Linked DNA regions of Kluyveromyces lactis. The protein of the gene in region 2 binds, or shares a complex with, the protein of the main gene of each other region. Links are inferred from orthologs where the notes say so. Each region holds a gene or a part of one and is shown on either strand. Other genes may lie near its edges. The genes, in order: RPA49, RPC10 and RPC17.

The links.
Region 1: RPC10 (region 2) and RPA49 share a complex: the UniProt entries of both Saccharomyces cerevisiae proteins name them as parts of the RNA polymerase I (Pol I) complex. The link is inferred for Kluyveromyces lactis from reciprocal best matches to the Saccharomyces cerevisiae genes RPC10 and RPA49.
Region 3: RPC10 (region 2) and RPC17 share a complex: the UniProt entries of both Saccharomyces cerevisiae proteins name them as parts of the RNA polymerase III (Pol III) complex. The link is inferred for Kluyveromyces lactis from reciprocal best matches to the Saccharomyces cerevisiae genes RPC10 and RPC17.

Annotation. Positions count from the first base shown.
Region 1 is NC_006039.1:266,424-269,598, forward strand, and holds RPA49 (DNA-directed RNA polymerase I subunit RPA49), read right to left. Parts: upstream 1,787-3,175; coding exon 548-1,786; downstream 1-547. Other genes in the region: MPA43 (Mpa43p), read right to left, coding at 1-332; JJJ3 (Jjj3p), read left to right, coding at 2,246-2,734; KLLA0_C03003g (uncharacterized protein), read right to left, coding at 2,892-3,175. UniProt on the Saccharomyces cerevisiae protein: DNA-dependent RNA polymerases catalyze the transcription of DNA into RNA using the four ribonucleoside triphosphates as substrates. Component of RNA polymerase I (Pol I) which synthesizes ribosomal RNA precursors.
Region 2 is NC_006040.1:683,725-685,763, reverse strand, and holds RPC10 (DNA-directed RNA polymerase core subunit RPC10), read right to left. Parts: upstream 767-2,039; coding exon 554-766; downstream 1-553. Other genes in the region: BNI5 (Bni5p), read right to left, coding at 1,034-2,032. UniProt on the Saccharomyces cerevisiae protein: DNA-dependent RNA polymerases catalyze the transcription of DNA into RNA using the four ribonucleoside triphosphates as substrates.
Region 3 is NC_006042.1:2,114,174-2,116,609, forward strand, and holds RPC17 (DNA-directed RNA polymerase III subunit RPC17), read right to left. Parts: upstream 1,048-2,436; coding exon 580-1,047; downstream 1-579. Other genes in the region: VTC4 (Vtc4p), read right to left, coding at 1-352; CRH1 (transglycosylase), read right to left, coding at 1,357-2,436. UniProt on the Saccharomyces cerevisiae protein: DNA-dependent RNA polymerase catalyzes the transcription of DNA into RNA using the four ribonucleoside triphosphates as substrates. Specific peripheric component of RNA polymerase III which synthesizes small RNAs, such as 5S rRNA and tRNAs.

The DNA.
Region 1 (3,175 bases), on a different chromosome or scaffold from region 2:
ATCCAAAAAATGATATCGTGATATCTACCGTTCTTGTCATGAATCAAATTGAAGGGAATTAAGTTCTCATCTTTCTGTTTCCCAACCACCATCGAACAAGTTGCTCCTACACCCAATGAACAAATGTTGTACTCCTGGATATATAAAGTATTGAATGCTTTTTCTACAGCAGTTAAAATATCAGAGGTACATTGGGTAATGATCCCATTTCCATGCCTAAAATAAGGGACTTTTTCTTTCGTTTCCTTGACTAGGCTATCAGTATAATAATCAAAAATACCTATTCTAAACTCGGTAGATCCCAGATCGACACCTATCCCAACATCTTGCATATCCACAGGTTCTATATATGATGTTTAAGTTCTAATTTCTCGATTATACCATCACTTTCTGTATTCTTTTAGTTGATCATTATAAGATGAAGGTTGATAATACGAGATGAATAATTCTTTTTCTTTATATAGTAAAATAGATTTCTGAAGAAGTGTAGATCAATTGCAAAAAAGTATTATACAAACGCATGTTCTACTTAAATCATAGGGATAAGCTACCTTCTTGGCCCTTTACCTCTTCTAATCATTTCTGGTAGCTTGAATGGTACCTTCAAAGTTGCTATTTTATACGTTGAGGCAGAAGACTTTGGAATGCCAAAGGCTTCAGCTTGAGCTACAGTAGCACCCTTAACGGTAGCACCTAAGATTTTGAAGAGACTGACAAGCTTGGAAGGCTTTAAGTTTAGTTGTTGAGCTAAAGGTGGGACTTCAACAATGAAGTTATCCAAATGCATAATAATTACCAAAATATAACATAGCAATTTGTCCTCCCTCTGTGGATCGATAAAGAATGACTTATCTTTTGATCTACCAAATTGACCAGGTCTAGAGATGGTAAACCTTTCCAAAATGCCATTTAATAGGGCATCTGGAGGGTTGTTTATTCTTTCCAATAATTTTGTCTTGTTGTTAACTCTTCTGTTATCGTACACCCCAGCCAAAAGTGATAAATAATATAGTAATTGCAATTTTTGCATTTGTGCTGCTTGTGTTAGAGTTGGCAACTTGTTAGCCACATATTGAAATTTAGTGTATGGGAAATATTCTAGCCTCTTTTCTGGGTCTTGCTCTTTCATGATACTGCCAACGCGAATAAATGACCATTCCTTTTTGGGTATTATGTTGTATAAAGGATAAATTTGTTCCACATCTGTTGCGTCTAAATCAGCCAACGGAGTTGGTCTATCAGAAGATACAGTTTCTTGCAGTTCTTCCTTTGAAGGCAGTTCTTTCGAAGCAGTCTTCACTGTGTCTACAATATCTATCGCAGAATCAACCAATTTGTCTGAATCAATACGGTTTCTTTCCATATCAGCAATGGCCTTCTTTGCCTTCTTAGTACCGAACGCCTCACCTAAAGCGTTTCTCATCAATGCAGCACGGACGTTAGCCTGTTTAATGTCAGGTCCCATTAGGTTCTTTCTAGATTTGGAAAGAACCTTGCTGGATACCAGTGGTGCCTTGTACAATTCTACAGACTTCGTGGCGGCATCATAAACACCAACAACATACTGAGAAGAATTAACAAAATCATCGTCAGTCTGACCTTCATATTCTAGTCTATCGTTTTCACCATGTAACACGTATTTGTCGCTGTTCTTCTTGTTCTTATATAGCTCGAAGGTGGTATCTTTTGGTGCCTGGAAGCCCTTAAAGAAGCTACTTACAGCAACAGATGGTTCATCATGATAAGCTGAAACACCAACCTCAGTGAATGCACGTTTGGAACCCATCTCCACACTCTTAGTTACTACACAGTCAGCTTATTTCGGACCTTGGGATACCTTTCAATGATGTACTAATTTCCCAATATAGTTTGTGATCGATGCTTTACATCTCATCTCATCGCATATCCAAAAATTTTTCGATCAAGGAAAAAGAAACAAGAGTCATGTGACCGAACCATTGGATTATTGAGTTGGAAAGACGAAACTTCGACCGTTTGCCAGATTAATAAATGCCTTTTATAGTACCTCGTTACACCAAGCTTAGTCAGGACGCCTTACTTTTTCTGCTGCATGTTAAACCTGCTTTTTCATAGATTTCTGTGTTGTATTTCGTTCAATGCTCTGTTAGAGGCGATGAGGTTAGCTTTTGATATTTCATTGAAATGTTGACAGACATCAACAAAAAGCTATGTCAGCACTTATACCAAGTTGAGTGGTTCTGTAGCAGAACATCCAGTTATCATAATGCAACGATCCTTCTATGAAATTTTGGGCATTGAAAGCGATGCCAGTAATATCGAAATTAAAAGAGCTTATAGGGCCATGTTACTGGAAACACATCCTGATAAATCTGGATTGAATTATAATTCCAACGGAAACAATACATCTAGTCATTCTGTTACTGATATCCAGGAAGCTTACCAGACCCTCATTGATCAGGATTTGAGGAAAAAATATGATGAGGAACTTGCTGAATCGTTCAAGAAACTTGGCTTTCACAATGCAGGTGATGGTCTAGATCTTTTCTCTCTAGATCTGTTCGATTACAGCGGAGATGAACAATCTTTTTCGATGAATTGTCCCAGGTGTCAAATAACTGATGGGTTCCAATTAACCGAAGATGCTTTGGAAGAACATGCGATAGATTATGAGGGAGGTGGATATTTCGTATTGGTGCAATGTTCGGCTTGTTCACTATGGTTGAAAGTCTTATTTGACGTTATGGAAGAGTGATGTGACATATCAATTATGTTTTCACAATTAAAACCTGAAGAACTTCCTTATATTGTATCTATTGTGTCATGAAAAATTCACACTATTTACAGGTATGTTTCTTTACTTATGCATACTAAGAGCCACGTCAAAAAGCATACTGAATGTATCTAGATTTTTACGGTTCTTTCTCCGTATTTGTTTGCTCAGCGTCCAATATGGAAATGAAGGCTTTAGAGATAGCTTCAAAGTCTGTCATGAGGCTTACATGTGGCATTTCGCTAGCTATCTTTGCTACAATAGGAAAGCCGCATTTTTCTGGAAGTAACCACTTGTGATGTACAACACCGTCACCAGGTCCGTAATAAAAGTCTTGATACAGTCCTTTCTTTATCTCCTCCCGATTTTTAACCTTGGCACCTCTGACCGTCGGAACCCTATCACCATATACTATTGCTAGCG
Region 2 (2,039 bases):
TGACCTCGCAAAAGACTTCAATTCTATCAAAAAAAAGCACTGATCCTTTGTTGTGTTTGAGGAGAGAAACGTTCAATTAAACACCAAAATCAACAAACAAGATAATACACGCAAAAGCAGATATTGGCACCGTTCAAAGCACCCACTCTCTCTTCACTAATCACACCAAACAGTTGCCTATCAAGCCTTAGCTCAAATGGTCCACAAAACGTCCGTCAAACTTCGTCTTTTCAGTTTGGAAGTGGATATATGCAAATCTAACGGTGACGTTATTCTTTGATTTTAAAATTAGATGGTGAAGCTGCCCAAAATCATAAAGTTTTCTCAGAGATTTTCCATCACATAAAGAAAAAGGAATTTTGCGCAGTGTGATTAGCCGGTATAACCCCAGCTGACTTCGGACATCCGTCTGTCGACTAGCGATGCCCATGTAGTCGTGTTTCAATTGAGAAACGTTTAAATGTCAACGTTTATTAATGTACATACAGGAAAGATGCTGTAATACATATATAGTTTATATGCATATAGTTTATGTGATGGAATGGGAACAGGTTTACCTGGCTTCGAACTGGACCATTCTCTTGGTTCTGGCCTTGAGTAGGATACGGTGACCGCAATTCTTGCAACGGACGGGATCAGTTCTGGAAAGCGAAAGTCTGCTTGAACACTCTGCGCAGATGTATTTCAAAGTGGCAGTTCTGCTCTGAGCTGCACCAGCAGCAGCAGCATCTAAATTCGTTGGGATTTGGAAACCTTCACGGGACATCTTGACACTTACTCTTAAACTATTGGGGCCACAAACGCACTCACTGACTCGACTATCGGAGGATAACTCTCGTATCCGAGACAGTATGTTTCAGTCAAAGCTTCTGATTCCTATGATGAGCTTGTCAATTCAAATTTCTTACTAAGGTCAGAAGAATTTCTTTTGGAAATACACGGTAGGGTAATACTTAAAGGATGCATAGAAATACACACACATTTATATAGACACGAATGAACGTATGTATGTATGTAGTACGAGATTTCCAGGTTACGACCTTCCTACCCAAAATTGGCCATTGGCCCCCATATCTACGTTTTTCCTTATTTGACGGGATAATATTACACCTGTATCGTAACGTTGTTTGTTTTTCTTGTCGAGGTATTCTTGCAATTTTTCGATGGCAGTGATCAGTTTGCGTCTGTCTTCGAGCGTTAAGGTACTTTCGTTTTTAAATTTGTGGAGGTAATCGATTTCTTTTTGTAGTTTGGTACATTTGACCGAGAGTGAGTTGTAATTTTGCTGTAATTGTTCAAAGTTTATGTCTGAAATATCTGAGGAAGTGCTTGAGACCCTAGAGCTGTTTCTCGATGCGTTACGGGAGCTTGGTTGGCTACCAACATGTACTACGCGGAACGGGTTGCTCTTCGGCGTGAGTATACGTGGTGAAGTAGGTATGTTGCTTGAGTCAGTGTTTGGTGCACGAGGGACGGTTCCGTTCTGAGTATGGCCGATTGCTGCAGGAGCAGGGTATGTACTTGATTTATCAGTGTTAGGTACAATCGTAGCTGCTGCTGCTGCTTCATCCTCTTCTGTGCTGGTGGAGACTTCGATCTTCTCAGAAGGTATTCTCTTCGCTGGAACAGAGGTTACGGAAACAGCGGGAATAGCTTTCTCAGCAGTTGGTTCAGTTTGTACTTCTGCCACCACTTCTGCCACTACTGCTGCCTCTAATTGAGTACCTGGTTTCTCCTCTTTTATGTCTTCTCGCTCTTCCGCTTGTAGTGCCGTCTCTCTGCCACTACTTAGTGTTTCCGGTACCTCGTCCTCCCCATCGCTTTTAATAGCATTCTGCACAAATTGATCAACCTGGTTCGCCGTTAGCTTCTGCAACTCTAAGTAATCCTCATCTTGATCGTCAGAAGAAACATCCTGTTTCGTCTTAACCGTGGTCTCATGAATGCTCAAGTTCTTATCTATCATCTCGTTCATCTCACTTATCTCTAACTCAATTTGAGACATTCGTTTCTTTACCTGCTCTGAATCCATAATTGAA
Region 3 (2,436 bases), on a different chromosome or scaffold from region 2:
CCAAATCATGCACATCAGCAATGATATCAGACAATTCTTCTTCTAAGATTTGGAAATCCAAATCTGTAACCGGAACATTTGTATCCAAAGAACGCACAGCGACAGAAACTTGTTCCTGGGCTTGCTTGATACGACGCACTACCTCGTTATGCTTCACTTTGCAAAAAGTGTACACTTTATCCAATTCAATTTCCAAGGACTCCAAAAACTGAGTCTCCAAATCCTCGTTCCATTTTCCGTTGTTAGCTTCCAAGGATTCCTGTAACTCCGTCTTCAAGTCATTGTAACTGATATAGTAATAACTGTACTCACGAATCAAAGATCGCTTCAAATGTTCACCAAATTTTACCATCGTTATCAGTATCAGCTATTTCAAAGGTCCTGATGCAAGTCTAACCCACTCAGAAGCCCTGATAACTACTTTATTCTAGGGTATCCCTTTTTTCCCTTATACTGTCACTTGGAAACATTGAAACTCATGTTCCTGATCTTTTTTCTCATTGTATTTCGGTCTGTTATATGTGATTTTTTTCTCCAAGCATTTAAACATTATAGATATTGTATTATGGTGTATAATAATTAGAGGCACGTGCGGGAGATGCATTCGAGAAGCGAGGTCACCTGACCTTCGTCAAGTCTTGATTCGCACTCTTCGACTATGCTATACAAATGGACCAAGTTTGTTGGTAATTGGTTCACTATTTGTAGTTTTTCTGCTTTGTATAGTGGGAAAGCATTTAATTCTTGCATTAGTGTTGAGAATTGGTCTGTAGTTAGGTTCAGCAGTGTGGATTTGTTGGCGTTATTGGGTACGGTCTTGTCCGACGTTTCTGGTTCTTCTGGGTCTTCTGCTGTAGTGGAACGCTGTGTTATGTACCTTACCGTGTCTCTGGTTATCGTTTGCAGTTCTGGATGGTAGTATGGTTTGTTGTGTTTCCTGTCTGATTTTGATCCAGAGGTCCATCGGTGTTGATTCTGTAATGATATGAGGAACTGCAAAGTTTCGTAGTCGCTCATAAAAGCGTTTTTTTCCTCAAGCACGCGCATTTTCTTGGAATTTTGTTATATGAGAAGCTTTTTACTTGGATAATTCAGTATAGGCCGATACAGTCTTTATTACTTGCTACTCTTTGATCTCAACTCAGCTCATCTCTTCTCTTTGCATGGCTTTCAATATATTCGAAGCGGTGAAAAATAATCCCGTGTATCATGATTTAGATGAACGAAACAAGTGCTCAGGGTATACGTATCCTGCTTTGTGCATACCAGTTGCATGGCTGATGCTGGTACCATAGCGATTAAGATGCACCTATTAAAATTCAACGAGGTTAGTTTATATTACAAAATGACTATTTATTAGAGAAGTAGAAGTGCTGGAATGATAGCAAGCAATTGCGGTAAATTGAAAGCAGCAGCGTTTTCTGACTGTGTGGATGTTAAAGCAGCTGATGAGCTTGTCTCGCCAGTGGCATACGATGTGATCTCTTCGTCAGCAGCGGTGGTAGTGACCAAAGATGAGAAACCTGTGGTCACAAGTTCTTCCGTGGAAGTTATTAGAGATTCAGTTGTATTCAACTGAGTTGAAGAAGATGATAGGGAAGTGGAGGAAGATGTTGTGTTCAATGCAGTAATACTGGATGATGAAGCACTGGTAGATGAAGCACTAGTTGTGTTCAAGGTGCTTTCAGTGGAAGTAGTTGGAATTGTGGTACTAGATTTAGAAGTCGTAGTGGGGGAGGATGAGGATAAGGATGAGGATGATGATGATGCGGATGAGGATGAGGATGAAGATGAGGATGAGGAAGTGGATGAAGATTTGGATGTAGATGGAGATGCACTTGTCTTGGTTGAAGATGAAGATGTGGAGGATGAGGAGGATGAAGATGAAGTGTCGTCTGATACGCTTCCACCAGAAGCTAACTTATCGAAATCTGCTACTCCTTGATCATATCTACCATACACCTCACCATCATTAGCTTCAATAGATTCCCAAGTACCATCGGTGCCTGAGTATGAGTATTCTGTACCAGTGGAGTAATCAACAACGATAACGTCTTTCAAATACATGCTGAATGGAGCTTTGGTATAATCGGTCAAACCACCTGCCCATTCAATGGTTCCGGGCTCGTTTTGGGAATCACCACCAGCCCAAATACCTGTGAAAATACGCATTGGAGACTCTGGGTATCCTTGACCATTGTCACTGGTGATAGTCCTTACCAGTGCACTGTCGACATAGATATTGATTTCATCCTTAGTCCAATCAATGGTATAATTGTGGTAAGAACCTTGAGGATCGTCCACCGAATGGAAAGCACCACGGTCAAATGTAGTAGTTTCACCCTTGGAGAAGAAATTGGATTGAACTTGAGTAGTATCAGTACCAGTCCATTCGATATCAATTTCATCAAGATCATCACTTTGCAAATAGAATGA